2 linked regions of the Solanum lycopersicum genome follow. The protein of the gene in region 2 interacts with the protein of the main gene of each other region in a pairwise test. Links are inferred from orthologs where the notes say so. Each region holds a gene or a part of one and is shown on either strand. Other genes may lie near its edges.

Region 1 (8,030 bases), on a different chromosome or scaffold from region 2:
CAACATTAGTAAGTCAAATGATATAATAATCAATAACTCCAAGATTAATTTAAAAAGTAAGAAAGCCAAAAAGAAATACTCGGTTTGGAGCCAATTAATATCTCCACCGAATCAGACTCAAGAAGGGAAGAGAGTAAGAGAAATTTCTAATATCTCATGAACAGATTAAGAACAAGAAACTACTAATTCATAGTATAATCAAGTATGCAAGAATTTGAAAGCTACCAGTAAACCCACATAGAAGCAAACATGAAAAAATAAATCCTAAGTTCTAGTGGTCAAATTAACAAATTTATTAAAGGATGAAACAAGTTTAAACAAGAACTAACCTTCACGAACATGAGACCTTTGAACAACGCCAAATCTCGTTGTTTCTGGTTGCTGTTCACGCTGGCCGGAGCTGCTGCTTGCTCCCACCGATGATCGCAACTGCTGGATTTTCGCCCGTGACTGCTTGCTGCTCTCCTCGCTAGGTTGCTGGTTTCGCTGGAGGCTTCACCAATGGTCGCTTCTCGCCGGGAGGAGATGGAAGAAGCGGATGAGAGGAGGAAGAGAGGGGGCGCTGGGGCTGCTGGTCGGAGAAAGGCGAGAAGAGAGGGGAAGCGGCTGTGTTTGGAGCTGTTGTCGCTGCTGCTGGTGGCGCTGGAGTCGGAGTTGTTGGCTGGCGTCGGAGTTGTTGGCTGGCGTCTTCTCCGCCGATGGGGCTGCTGGTCTTGGCCTGCTACTCCTGTCTGCGGCTCTCCAAGCGTTGCTGCTACGCGCACTGCTGGTGCCTGGTTCTGCTGTTTTCGCCAGCAAAATGGAGAGAACGAAAGGGAGAAGGGAAGGAGGAGGTTGGGCGACGGGAGAAAGGAGACAGAGAAGAAGGAGGGAGAAGAGGAGGAAGAACAAAGGGGAGATGCAATAGCTGCCAGCGGCTGCTGGCTTCAACGACGATGGAGGATCTCGCCGGCAAGAATGGGGGAAAAGAGAGAAGCGGCTGCCAAGGAGGGGGGGAAGAGAAGGAGAGAAAAATGTTTTAGGGTTTTTTTTGGGGGTCTTTTGGTGTTGTGAAAAATAAAGATTTAATCACAACCATGAGATTAATAAGAGATGAAGGATTAGGATTCGATCTAGGATTTATTTTTTAAGATGGACGGATAAGATCAAAAGATGAAGTTTTGAAATTAGATTGGCAAAGATATAGAATGGCTAAAATTGCAATTAAAGTGGCTAGAATTGAAATGAAAGAGTGACTATGATTGTAATAAAAAACTTAATTGGAATTGGCTAGAATTGGAAGAAATTAGAATAGAATAGGCTAGAATTTAAATAATATTTATTAAAATACTACATACATTAAAATATTTTTTTTGTATAATTGAAAATCATCTAAATTTTAAAACATTTGAAATACTATTTACAATAATTTTATAAAGTAAATGATACTAAAATATATAATTTTTGAGAAAAATCAACTAAAACTTTCAAACTTTAAGTAAATTTTAAAATACGTATTTAGTCGAATATAATCCTAAAAATGGTTAAAGGTCGGTCAAAATTGGGTGTCAACAGACACACAAGTAAAAATTGTCATAACTTGCATAGTGCTACATAATTATTTGCAAGAATACCAAAGTAGCAATGAAATATTTATGGTCTATGAGTACGAAAATATAGTTGCGAATGATATTGACCAATAAATGACTCAACTAACAATGTTGATTCGTCTTCTCGGTCATATGATCAAGAAATGCAAGTTCAACATGAGGAGATTGTTCATACTATATAGGGGAATATATATTTAAAACTAATACACTACAATTCATGTTCAATTTTTTTAATTGAATTAAAGTCTGATCAATGAAAGTTAGATGAAACAATTATTTAAGTGGAGAACAAATAACTTTATAGTAATTTATTATGCAATTTTATAAAAAAAATTATTTTGTAAGAATGAATAAACAATTGGGACTATTTTAATAGTGTTACATCTTATGAAATTCTTATGTTTATGAGAAAATATACAACAGAAAAATTTCATATTGTATATCCATACAAAACTTTAATTTCATTTCATGATTTCATATCACATAACTAAACAAGCCCTAAATATTATTTTTTTTCTAAATTTAAGCACTAATGGTGAGTACAATTTTATCCTATCATAGTTATAAACTCAAAAAGTATTTCACGTGAAAAACTTTTTGCTCTAAAAAAGTCAAAAATAACATCTTACTTTTGTAGGATTTTGTAAAACTTATTTCACTAAATTTAAAATAGATTTATAATCACGCTAGTAACATCTAAAGAATTGTCTCCAAAAGTTTTGAGCGATTCTTTTAATTGTCTTGTGACCGAACTGGTGCTGGTCAAACGAATAGTTGTATTTATGTTATTAAAAAAATTGGCATTTTCAAAATAGGTATAAAAACATGGTCTTTTTAAAATATTGGTCTAAATACATAGAATGTCAAAGTAGATAGGCTAGGATAATAAATAATTCATCTAAATGGAGCTTTTAATTTTGTTTATATAACAACTCAAAATAAAACAGATAAAGTGGGAACCACATGAGGCTTTTCTTTGTAATGTCTAGGGTGGGCCCCAGTTCATGCATCTAACCCAAATTCTATCTTTCCCTCATTTTCAAAATAAAATAAAATTAGTCGATAAATAATAACCAATAATAATAATAATGTTTGAATAGTATAATGGAAAATGTGAAAAAGTAAATATTTTTATATGTATGTTCGACACTTACCCCCATTGCTTTCTTGTGTGCTTCATCAATCAAAGAAAAGGGCTAAGCAAAAACTGTTTTCATCACTTTGATTTCTTTGCTTCATTTTGAAGGTACCATTTTCTTCTTGTTCATTAATTCTTGAAATTTAGTTATTTTAGAATCCATGAAGATTTCATTTTTTGAGTAAGTAAGACAAAGGGGTTTTAAGGTTTTGATTGTTAATTGCCATATATAGACTTGTGAGCTCTTTAGATTTTTTTCATTAATGTAGTTGATGTCACTAGATTCTTTGAAGTTAGAAGCAATAGAAAAACTTTTTTTTTGGTTTTGGTTTTTTCAGATTATCCTTGAGCTAGATAGGGTTCTGTGCAACTTGTTTAACAATGTTGTTGGTGATTTGAAATTCAAAAGCAGTTTTGATTTCATCTTGGAGAATGTATGTGTTGTCTTGGTTGATAGAGGAAATTCCAAAAGCAGTTTTGATTTCATCTTGGAGAATGTATGTGTTGTCTTGATTGATAGAGGAAGATGGCAAACAAGTAAAGCTTTTCAATTCTTTTAACTCAATTGATGATCAACTTTAAATGAATTCGGTAAAAAAACAAAATTGTAATTTAGTAAGATATGTGTAGTTTGATTGTAGTGTTATTTAGTTGTAATATTGCCCTCTTACTATCTGTTGTTTGTTACTACCTATTGTCTTTTGTACTTTTATTGTGTCTATTTCTAGTTTGTTTATGTCTTGAGCGAGGGTCTACTGGAAACAACATCTTGGCTGAGGTAGATTAAGGTATGGTACACTCTACTCTCCCCCGAACTTCAATCTGTGGGAACACTTGGTATGTTGTTGTTATTTAGTAAGATAGACTGCAAATGAGTGAGTTTTTGGGAGGAAATGCAATGCAAGTCTTAACCACTATGAAGTTAATGATTCCCTTATCACTTGTTGCTTGAATTGATGGGTGCCGTAATACATTTTATCAGGTCCTGGTATAGCAACTTGTCAAGGTGTCCACAAAAAGCTTTAAGGAAGTTACATTAGTGTAGAATCCGTTGAAGATAATGCAGAACATCTTTTTAAAAAAAAAAAAGAAGTTGGGGATAGAGGAAGGAGATAACAAGGTGGAGAATTGAACCCTCACTATCCAACTTACTGAGCTACTAAGATTATCCCAAAGAAGAACATCTTATTAATTCCACTTACAAAAAAATGTTGTGATGAAGTAATAATCTTGTTAATGTGGGTAAACTTCCGTGTAGAAGTAATACACCAAAAAGTAGAGAAACCAACAAACTGTCAGAGAGATTAACCAAAAACAGGAGGTTATTCTTCAAATATATAAACTTATCATGAACTCTTCCATGCTCTCCTTCCAAAGGATCCATATAAGGGCTACATAGGCTATCTCTCGTGTCCTATGTATTCTTGCTTTCTTCTAAGGTCATCTGTCTAACAGGTCCTTTACTGTGCCCAACATTATCCACTGTACGTGCTCAGGACCAGCTTCCATTCACCACAATTGGGTAACACATGAAAATGCAGCAGTAGGTTGTCCAGATATTTACGGATCTATACATAAAGCACCATCCCGTACATTAGTATTATTCCTGTTTTTTGTGTTTTTAGATTTATTTGTTACTACCGCTTGTTTCTATAGCCTTGATCATTGTATCATCTTATTGTTTTTTTAGTTTGTTCCTGCTTCTTTCTTTTGCATCTTTCTTTGAGCCGAGAGTCTATATGAAACAGCCTCTCTACCTTCAAGTAATTTGTAACTATATAGGCACTTTCTGGATGCTGTGTTAGTAATACAACTACATTTTGACTATCAGTGAAGAAATAATAATGTGAAATCATCCAGTCTGATCGAAACACAAAGCATAAGTTTTAGCTTCTTTCGTTGTAATTGACTGTATGGATATCCCTAGCAGTTTTTTGTAACTTTTGGTTTTGGTACCTTCTTGGTACTTAAGTCACTAAACCTTAACCTCATCAAAAGAAAAAAAAAAAAAAGAGATAGCATCTTTACCATCCAGAAAACAAAACCTATAAGTGCAGGTTTAGAATCACCATTCCATTGAAGTTGTGAAACAATTCACAGTTCCAGAAAATCTTAGTTATTGACAAGAATCACCAAAATACAACATATGAGAGCAAAGAAATACTATGGAAGAAACACAACTGACATAAAACTTATGTCGTAGTAGAGATGTAGATCATAATGAAGATATATTCATTGTTAACAGTCCATGTTAAGTTGGGGCATTCAAATTATGCATTCAAAACAATAGAAAGAGAGTTAAATATTTTAAGCTGTGATAGAAGTTTTCCTGAACTGTATGCTTGCATAAATGGGATCAGTTACCACCTTTTTATATGGATATCCAAGAGAATTTCTGCATTTCTGGAATTGTTGAATTTTAGTTGCATCCAATGAAATGTCTTATTAATTTTGTAATGGCTAAAATCATTTTTCAAGCTTTTTTAACAATCAGTAGTCATGGATGTTTATGCAATTATGCTACATCGGCGGATCAAATAGTGCAGTTGTATAAAGCATAGTGCAATTGGCACCTAATGTTTTTATAGCTGCTTTCACTGATAGTTTGTTTTACTCCTTTTCTTTTCACAGAAACCTTTTTTCATGACTGCAAAATTTCATGTCGCCATATGCCATCAGGAAGACGTTCTTTAATGGATTTGGAACCTGCCTACAAGATGGAGAGCATAAGAGCAGTCCAAGATATTCAGCATGAATTTTGGCCTCTTGATGAAATAAATGGAGAGAATGCTAAGTTCCCCTGTTGTTTAGTTTGGACTCCTCTACCAGTAGTCTCATGGTTGGCACCTTTCATTGGACATGTAGGAATATGCAGAGAGGACGGTTCTGCCGTGGCCTTTTCTGGTTCCAACTTTATTAACATTGATGATTTTGCATTAGGTTCTGTGGCCAAATACCTTCAACTAGACAGAAAACAGGTACAATTTACTGTAGCATGCTCTTAGCCTTTCAATTGTTTGTTGTAGCATTATGTCACTCACTAACCTCTCCCCCCATCTTCCTTAACGCATCGCCCCTACTATTTATATTCACATATAACTTCCAGCAATTCCACCTGAAACACTATGCTTAGTTAGTAGTTACCCCACATAAAGAAATAGGGCAATTTGATCTTACCAACAAAGTATTGACAAGAATTTCTGAATGGTGAATTATTGGACAGTGCTGCTTTCCACGAAACCTTGCTGCACACACATGTAAGCATGGCTATAAACACACAGAGTTTGGGTCTGCAATTACTTGGGATGATGCCATCCAATCAAGCGTTCGTCATTTTGAGCACAAATCGTACAATATATTCACTTGCAACAGCTATTCTTTTGTTGCTAATTGCCTGAACAGGCTCTGCTATGGAGGATCAATGGATTGGAACATGATCAATGTTGGTGCTCTTTTATTGTTCAAAGGACATTGGGTTGACAACATGTCAATCTTGAGATCATTTTCACCTTTTATGCTAGTTGTATGCTTTGGCATTTTCATGGTGGGATGGCCTTTTATGGTAGCATTATTGGCTTTCTCACTTCTTCTTTTAGCATGGTTTATTTTTGGTACTTACTGTCTCAAAAATCTGTTGGATTCCTAGGTTTCTTGTATCACACTGCTACAAGATTAAAATTTGTTAATCCTTAATATGTGAAGAACCCCATAGACTTTGATAACTCTGCACTCTAAAGTCACAAGTGTAGTGGAATTTGGACAATATCAAGTTACCTAATAGATATTCACTTTGATTCAATTTATGACACATTTTTCTTTTTAATCCATTGGAAAAAAGAATGAGTGACAGTTTACCTTAGTTTTGGAACATTATAAAAAAAAAATTATATTTTTAAACTGCGTGTCTAGTCAAAAATCACATTGAAACAACACGACTAGTTATAAATTGTCGTCACTGATACTTGGAATTTGGGGCGTCCATCAGTTAATTCGACTTAATGTATTATTAGTCTAGCTTTCAATTTTTAAATGCACTAAATTAGTAAGATATTATTTTATTGATTTTTGATCTTTAATAGTTTAGTTTTTGATTCGACAAATAAAAAATATTCATAAAATAGTTATATAAAGCAAATCGGTGGCTTGGAGGCTGGAGTTTGAATTTTAGCGCATTAAAATAAAGGCTTTTAAGCTTAGAATTTGTATCTATCGAACAGTTTTTTTATTTAAAAATTATTTTTTATTGCAGATATGGGCAAAAAATGTGTTCCACTCACCTTGAGCGTATATAGCAGTTAAAAATCATATTTTTCTTATATACTTGATAAGTTTTAAAATAAAATAATAAAAATAAAATGGAAAAGCCTTCTTCTTCTTCACTGCAGCTCTCTTTCTCTAATCCTTCAATTCTTCTTTTGCTTTAACCTTCATTTTTAATTATTTTTTCAGCAATTGCTTTGAAATGGCCGCAGAAAAACATAAATTAAAAAAATAAAAGTCAAATTTGAGTTAAAAATAAATTTGGCGAAACTTTATTTTTTTTGACAAGACTAATATGAATCTGAAATTATTTTCTTTGAAACCGCTAAAAGATTCAAATTCTAAAGAACTTACAACAGTGAAGAAGCGAAAAAATCAACAAATATTGATTGTTATTCAAAAAAAAATGAGATTGGAAAAAATGGCAACTATAATATTGAATTAGAATAAAGGATAGAACTTATTGGAGTATGCGATTTTAGCCGGAGGCCACTACGTGTTTTCCGGCGACAAACAAAATGAGGTAGAATGGAAGCCGGGGTGGGCATTTTGGCAAAGAAGAAAAGGCAGAAGAATTTTTATTTTTTTTTGGGGCCAAAAATAACATTTTATTTTTAATATATATTTTAATCAAGGCAACTTTCAGATAGGTATAGCAAATAAAATATTCATATTTGTATGTTATAGCAAAGTTTACAAAATTACGCTCCATAGCAAACATAGAAACTGCATAATTCGCTGTACATAAACAGTTGAAGCAAATTATATAAAACGAAGTGTATAAAACAAGAAAGAGAAAGACACTTGGATAGAGAACTATATAAAAACTAAGTGTATAAAACGAATTATATTATTATAAGTTATAGAACGATTATATACAATTTGAATTTGTATAAAATGAGAAAGAGAGAAAGACAAAAGAGACTTGACAAGGAATATACAATTGAATTGAATGGTATAAAACGAGAAAGAGAGAAATTATATACAATTTGAAAATTGTATGAAACGAGAAAGAGAGAAATGCAAATGAAACTGAGCAGGAG
Region 2 (8,024 bases):
AAATAAGTGATATGATATCCAATCATTAAAATATAAAATTCTGAATCCATCTCGATATTTATTAACCATGTGATCACCAACCTTTCTTGAAATCCAAATAAGCTTGGTAGACTTGATTTGAAGTAGGAAGTGACTTGGATACTGAGTCTCTATTCAAACACCTTTCTCCCCACATCACTAACTTGGGGCATTGTATTTCAATTGTGTTGAAATTTGCAAAGGTCTTGAAGACAATGAACCAATTGTAGAAAGGAACAAGTGCAATGTCTACAAATCCAAATACATCTCCTCCAAAATAAAGTTTATCTCCAAGTTCTTCTTCCAAAAACTTTGAACATTCTACAAGTTCTTTCTTGCCATTTTCTTGCTCTTCAATTTGCCCCATCCATACCTTTACACTTGACCCATGTACCTAAAATTAATGCTCTTTGTAGGGTTATTCCTTTTAATTTTTCTTAAACTTTATATCAAGTCAAAAAAATAAACAAATTAAAACAAAAAAAAAGTATTAATTTATATTATATCTTCTCTGTTTAAAAAAAGAATGACCTAATTTTATTTGAAACAGAATTTAAGAAAAAAAAAGATAATTTTTAATCTCGTGATTCTAACTTTAATTTAAGTCAAATATATCAAAATATTCTTTAATCTTATGGTCTTAAACATGTATGTGAAAAGTTAAAATATTATCAAAAAAAGGTTATAATCATTCTTTTTGAAACAAACTAAAAAGAAACTAAGTTCATTCCTTTTTAAATGAATGAAATAATATATATGCATTGAATGATTAAATTCTGCATAACTACGTATAACTGATTCTTAGATACTAATACATATGTAACTCTAACCACCAATAAAACAACCCTGAATCTATACAAGGTAATGAAATCACACAAACATATATGAAATGAATTAAGGAAGAGTTAAAAAGTCCTTTACCTTTTTATTGATAAAGTCAACCAAGAACCTAGCTTTAGCTCTTTGATAAGGTTCATAGGGCAATAAGGGAGAATTATTTTTCCAAATCTCATCAATATATTGAATAATGATATTTGATTCACAAATAGATTTACCCTTGTGAACAAGAACCGGTATTTTGTGATGAACCGGGTTCATTTCCAAAAGCAAAGGACTTTTATTAGACAAATCCTCAAACTTGTGGATGAAATTGACTCCCTTTTCAACTAGGGCAATTCTTGCCATTGTTCCAAAAGGACTAGCCCAATAATCTAAAAGTACAACTTCTTCTTCTTGTGTCATGTTTTTTTTTTTGTTGAAAAGTTAGGGATATTAGTAGACTTGTAAGAAGAAGAGGTAATTAAGAGTGTTGAGGGTTTTTGTGATTCTTTTTATGGTGTGGTAGAGTCATTAAGGAGATAATTAACAAGAAAGGGATAATTATGTAAATATTTGAATTTTTTATTAATCGAGTCTTTTTCTGTATGATTCTTTTTATGGTGTGGTATAGTCATTAAGGAGATAATTATCATTTGATTGAGACAAGAAAGGGATAATTATGTAAATATTTGAAGTTTTTACTAATTGAGCTTTTTTTTTGTGTGATTTTTTTTATGATGTGTTAGAGTCATTAAGGAGATATTTATCATTTGATTGAGACAAGAAATGAACAATTATGTAAATATTTGAATTTTTTACTAATTGAGTCTTTTTTTCCTTTTGTGTTAAAGACTAGTTAATTAGAGGATTATTGGTTTGTGGCTTAACCAAGATTTGAATCTTTATATATAATGGTGTATTTATTTAAATTGATAGCTGAGAACTTGTTTGATTTGAGTGTAATCTTACTTGTTAAAGATGTTGAAGAAACTATTAATGTAATATGGATTTATTTTTAAGCTATCGTTATATTCATATTTATTATATCATATCACCACTAATCACTTTTTATCATTACAATTATTATTATCATTGGTAACTATTTGTTATCATCATCAATAACTATTTTCATCATTACGATCATTATGTAAAACAATATTGAAACTACTCCTGCGACTCTTTTAAAGAGTTCGAATCCTATATTAACTAACAATTCTATGGACAAGGGATGATTTAGTTTTAATATGATTAGATCTCCTAAGTCATATATAACTTATACTTTATTGTTATATATAAATGTTGAAAGCTACATAGATAATACATCACTTCGTACTTTTTTTTGAATCAATATCATAGATTGTTAATTATTATTATCAATCGTTATTATATCTACCATCTTTATCATTATAATTATGTACCATTGTCACTATCAATAAGATCAGACATTATCTACCTCTATTATCACGTGTAATTAAATAAATTCGTAAAATATTAATCGAAGTCAATCAAAAAATAAGTTTTGTTAAACTTATAAATAATTTAATATAACTAGTATTGTCGATACCACATCTACAAGGTAACCTCTTTTTCCTTTTTAAAAAATAAAACATTTCCATGTGAAAAAAAGTTATTAAATTTTTAATGATATATTAAATTAGACATGAAAAATAATTCAATTATGTCTGCCATTGGAGTCCAATTCAGTCAACTTGACAAAAAAAAAACCCAACTGTTTGACCCGTGAAATTACAAATTGGGTCATTTCCTTTTCTAGCCAACTCCATTGTTTCACTTTCCCTTTTGATCATCATCAATCTTCATCACTTTTTTTCGCCCCAATTTTTTTTTTTTTTGGCCACGATGGGATCTCTTCTCCGGATGAATCGCCTTGTAAGTCTCATAAACCCTAACTAGTTTTTTTTAGTTTTTTTTGCTAATTTTGACTTTTAATTGCTGAAAAATAGTCTTATTGAAGTGTTTTTTTAGGTTTACTTGTTGTTAATTAGCTTCACTTGTGATAATGTATTTAAAGTTCGTGATGAATCGTTTTGAATGTTGAATTTCAGCTCATTTTTGTAGATTGTTTTGTTTATAATAACGATTGATTTTTGGTGATTAACTAGCTGAAATTGATTAATTTACAATAAACTAAACTGAATAAATTGAAGTTTCCAGGCAGTAACTGAGGTTTGGTTTTTCATGGAGCAAGGTTATTAGTTTTTGGATAGTGGGGTTTGGAATGATTAATGTATAAATGAACTGAAATTGCAACCAATTAATGATTTTTAGAGTTTATTTGCTTTTGTTGTGATGATGTCTTCATGATTATGATCATTCTTTTTTTGGAATATGTTCTTATGGGTTGAGTTTGTGGGATGAATGTAAAGTTCAACTCATTTGCGCATGTTCTTTTTATTTATCCCCGTAAGACTGATTTCGGTGTTTAACTAGCTCAGATTAGTTAGTCTACAACTACATGCCAAGTGTAATCCGACAAAATGGGATCTAGGGAAGTAAGAGTGTAAGCAGACCTTATCAGTTATCCCTACCTTACCACAAATGAGATTTGGGATAAGATGTGTATCCGTCATCTCTAGTGGTTCACTATCTGAGGAATAATTCATGGAAGAAGCCTATAGTAAACACATTCGCTAAACATATCTCAAGGTGGTATGAAAGAAGAAATAAATGAAGATTAAAGGCATGTGAGAGTGATAAAAACAAACCAAAAGTTGTTAATGGGGAAGAGTTCAAATTGAGAAATAATTTCATGTGTTAAGTATGCACAAGAAAAATATGTCACATGCGGTGAAAACTTTGCACTAACCGCATGTGCCACAGTTTTCCCAAGTTAAGAGAATCTAATACTAGTAAAATATAACTCAAACAAATTCAAACCATCAAAAAATGGGGAAGTGAACATTTAAACGAATAATATCGAGGATGTTACATACTAATAAAATGAGCATAATATTTGGATGATGAATAATATCTTTGAAGTGCTGAATAATGATTGTATGACTATCACTCTGGGGAAACAAATTATTCTGAAATGCTTTGTCACTGAAAGTGAATATGACGTCATTGAAATTTGGAGGATCTAAGTAGATTCATGCTTTCTTACATCATATGTTCTTTTCTATTGTAATGTTGGTTTCTATAGCATCATTATATTGCTCAAATTTATTTCACAGTTCTAACCACATAACCTATTTTCAGAATTTGTATTTGTTTTGTCCCACAAAATAATGAACATTAAGACCAAGCATGTGCATGTCATACGTTCGGTAACGTGTACATTTTGCCTTTTTTTTCCTTTTTAAAGAGGTCATGGGCTTCGTCATTATTAATACAAAATGGACAAAGACACGTGAATGATATGCTCTAGTAAATATGCTCCTCATTAACCATAGGCAGCTCTAGTAACAGTAGATGTTTAGAAGAAGGAACACATCAAACCAAGATATCAAGAAGAAAAAAGTGACCAAATCCGTCCCTAAATATTTTCTTTCTTTATTGTCTATATATGTATATATTTTATGACATCCAATAATAATAAATGTTAGCGTAGATGGTCAAGACCTCATAATTTATTTTTGATGAAGAGACCTCATAATTTATTTTGTGAACACGATTCATACGTTCTAGTGTATTTAGCCATTGGTTGATGCATAAGACAAAAATTCTTGTTGTTTGTCGTTCACCACATGTGAAAATCAAATTATAGATAATGAAAATCAGATTATAGATGACTATTGAACAGATGAAGAACTACAAAATAGATGTAAATATGATTCTTTTACTTATCCTCCGTAGATGCCATAAAAATCAAGTACTCAGTTCAAGTTTTTAAAATAAATCATTAGAAGTAGGAAAACATTAGCTAGACTTAACAGTTTAAATTTTTGCTTCTTCTTGAAGGACTTAGTGTGGGGCTTCCATCGTTTTTTGTGAGAAATCTCCTGAAAATGAAGGTGAAATTGGCATTGTTAATAATACCATGTTTAGGATAATGTAAGGTGGCAACTATTCATTGGGAGAAATTATTGTCAAAGCGGTTTCTTTTCTTCCGTTGGCTGCATTAGGTGTCTTTTGAAGTAGGTTATAGGTGTCTTTTGAAGTAGGTTATTTAGGTTAGGGATATTTAGGTAATAACTTTTAAGTTTTTGAGTTCATGCTTTCAGTATAATATAGATCGGTCTCTAACCATATTTTTACTTGTGATCAAGCCATAGATACCGGTAAGAAGAGAAATAGATGATAAAAATGATAATTATAATTTTTTTTTGTATAACAAGCTGTTCGTTTTCTATTTAATTCATAGAAAATATATGTTCTTGGGAGTCCCTGATGGTTAAATACAACAAGATTCACCATGACTGCTACTTTAGAGAAACACTTGAGTGAAAGCCTATAAAATTGCATCTGTAACTGGATACCTACATTGAAAACCATCGTTCACGCTTCGATTTTGATCATTTTGGACTAGCAGCACTATCCTTGTATACTAGACAGGCTACTGTGATCATATTCTCTCTGCTATGATCAATAATGGGCTCAGAAAGCAGCTCTAATATTAATTGCAATAAACTAAACTTGCAATCTATAGAGAGAAAAGGAAAAGTTCATTTAATTGGTAAAATTGTGTAAAGCTCTCAGTACAATAATTCAAAAGGGAGATGATACAAGAGAAAGGGATTAAGAGGCAACTCCATCAACTGAGTTTTGTTTACCCAATGATTGATTTCATGCCAGAATGAATCGAGGAAACAAGGATGTCTATAATGTCAACAATCCCTCCACTCCTGCAGGAAGGTGAAAGGAGAGAAACTGGGAGAGGAAGAAAAGAGGAACTTTACCACTCCTCTGTTCTAATCTATGTGAAGGTGTTTGACTGTGCTCGACGTTTAAGAATGAAAGGAAGACTTTTGAGACTTGTTGTTCAAAGTAAGCCATTGTTAAGGGTAAAATGTGAAATTTAAAGTTTAATTGTTACTAAATATAGAAATATGTCTCTTTTTGGGGCTTATTTTAAAGGAAAGAGTGTCACATTAATTGGGACAAAGGGATGCATTTTCTGTCCAAAATTAAGATGTATATACTTAGATGCAAGTGGCACCATAGATCTGGTACTACCAAAAGGTATCCAATTAATCCATGCTTGGCCTCCCATTACAATGCCTGTAAGAAATAATTGTTCTTTCCACCTCCACAACTAATTGTCGAACTATTATATCTATCTTTATTCCCTTAAATGTGAAACGAATTACACAGACTATTTGGCGCTACTTTTTTCCTAGATATATTGAAGACCTAGTTTCTTATATTTGTGGGAAGCATTTGGAATTTTCTATAAGAACTATATCATGTTCGAAAACATTCTTATAATTTTCGACAAGATTGCTGAAGGAGTGTCTTATCTTTTATGTATTCTTGACTAGAGGAGTTTAATAAAAAGAAAATAGAAAGGAACAAAGAAACGTACAAGTGTATAAAAGGAGTTGGGGCAAAGACATCAGAAACATTTAGACCTACGATTTCATCCTACATGTTATGGTTTTAGTTCGTTAGAGGTTTTAACATATTAAATCAGCAAAGTTGTGACATACATAAAGTGCATAACATAAAGATGAAATTCACAATTTGCTGATCTTTTGGTGCAAGGGAACTATTTTTTACACTATAAGTTAGCTGTTAATTTCAATATTGGCTTCTTCTACACCTTGTTGTTCTTGAGTATAATTCTATTTTCACAAACATATGTCAGAACTTATGCTGCAATTAAATATATTCAGGTTGTTTAACTCTTGTACAGCTTGTTATTCTTCTGAGGCATATTTCCTTCTCCTTATTTGCTAACTTGTGCTGCAGTTATCTTCCATCGTGGAGTCATGTAACTGCATCATTGACCCACAGTTGCCTGCTGACGACTTGCTAATGAAGTATCAGTACATTTCTGATTTTTTCATAGCACTTGCTTATTTCTCCATTCCAGTGGAGTTGATATACTTCGTTAAGAAGTCTGCTGTCTTTCCATATAGATGGGTTCTTGTGCAGTTCGGTGCTTTCATAGTTCTTTGTGGAGCAACCCATCTTATCAACTTATGGACATTTAATATGCATACAAGGAATGTGGCAATAGTAATGACTACTGCAAAGGCCTTGACTGCACTGGTGTCATGTATAACTGCTCTCATGCTTGTCCACATCATTCCTGATTTATTAAGTGTCAAAACTAGAGAACTGTTCTTGAAAAAGAAAGCTGCACAGCTTGACCGTGAAATGGGTATTATTCGGACTCAGGAGGAGACAGGTAGACATGTTAGAATGCTAACTCATGAAATCCGAAGCACTCTTGATAGACATACTATTTTAAAGACTACACTTGTTGAGCTAGGAAGAACATTGGCATTGGAAGAGTGTGCATTATGGATGCCAACACGTACTGGACTAGAGCTTCAGCTTTCTTACACTTTACGACACCAAAATCCAGTTGGATTAACTGTACCCATTCAACTTCCTGTAATCAATCAAGTTTTCGGTACAAATCATGTCGTGAAAATATCACCAAATTCTCCTGTCGCAAGACTTCGACCTGCTGGGAAATACATGCCTGGTGAGGTGGTTGCTGTCAGGGTTCCACTTCTGCATCTGTCGAACTTTCAGATTAATGATTGGCCTGAACTTTCAACAAAGCGCTATGCTTTAATGGTTCTGATGCTTCCTTCAGACAGTGCAAGACAATGGCATGTTCATGAGCTGGAGCTTGTTGAAGTGGTAGCTGATCAGGTTTGATTTTTGTTATTGAAAATTCCTTAATATAATGTTAAAATTTCTCTTTTATATATTTTTGGGTTGAACACAACCACGTTGACATACTGAGTTCTGGGTGTAAAATTAGACATGGAGAAGACCAATTACAAAAATCTGAGAATCTGCTAGCAGAATCACAAGGCTTAGTTGTTCTTAGTATTATGGTTTTATCCATTGGAATTGCACAGCAGAATTGTTATTACTGTTATTTTTTTTTAAAATTTTCAAAGATAAATCAAAAGCTGAACTATATGATCTTTTTGCATACTTCGTCTGCTGATTGCTTTTTGGTGATGGAATAGTTAGGCTGGGTTGTGGATGAGTATATCATAGTAGATTTTCTGATAGGATCTTAACTCCTTGGCTTTTGTTTT

The links.
Region 1: the proteins of ETR1 (region 2) and green ripe-like 1 interact in binary tests that used the Arabidopsis thaliana proteins (3 or more experiments, as listed by UniProt). The link is inferred for Solanum lycopersicum from reciprocal best matches to the Arabidopsis thaliana genes ETR1 and RTE1.

The regions. Positions count from the first base shown.
Region 1 is NC_090807.1:54,634,731-54,642,760, forward strand, and holds green ripe-like 1, read left to right. Parts: upstream 1-2,747; 5' UTR 2,748-2,835; intron 2,836-3,065; exon of another isoform or gene 3,066-3,847; intron 3,848-4,118; exon of another isoform or gene 4,119-5,358; 5' UTR 5,359-5,396; coding exon 5,397-5,705; intron 5,706-5,950; coding exon 5,951-6,373; 3' UTR 6,374-6,503; downstream 6,504-8,030. Other genes in the region: uncharacterized protein, read right to left, coding at 330-341. UniProt on the Arabidopsis thaliana protein: Acts at an early step in the ethylene signaling pathway. Positively regulates ETR1, leading to the negative regulation of ethylene responses.
Region 2 is NC_090811.1:4,574,367-4,582,390, forward strand, and holds the start of ETR1 (ethylene receptor 1), read left to right. Parts: upstream 1-2,609; 5' UTR 2,610-2,697; coding exon 2,698-2,727; intron 2,728-5,489; exon of another isoform or gene 5,490-5,784; intron 5,785-6,708; coding exon 6,709-7,626; intron 7,627-8,024. Other genes in the region: glutathione S-transferase U25-like, read right to left, coding at 74-412, 940-1,260. UniProt on the Arabidopsis thaliana protein: Ethylene receptor related to bacterial two-component regulators. Acts as a redundant negative regulator of ethylene signaling.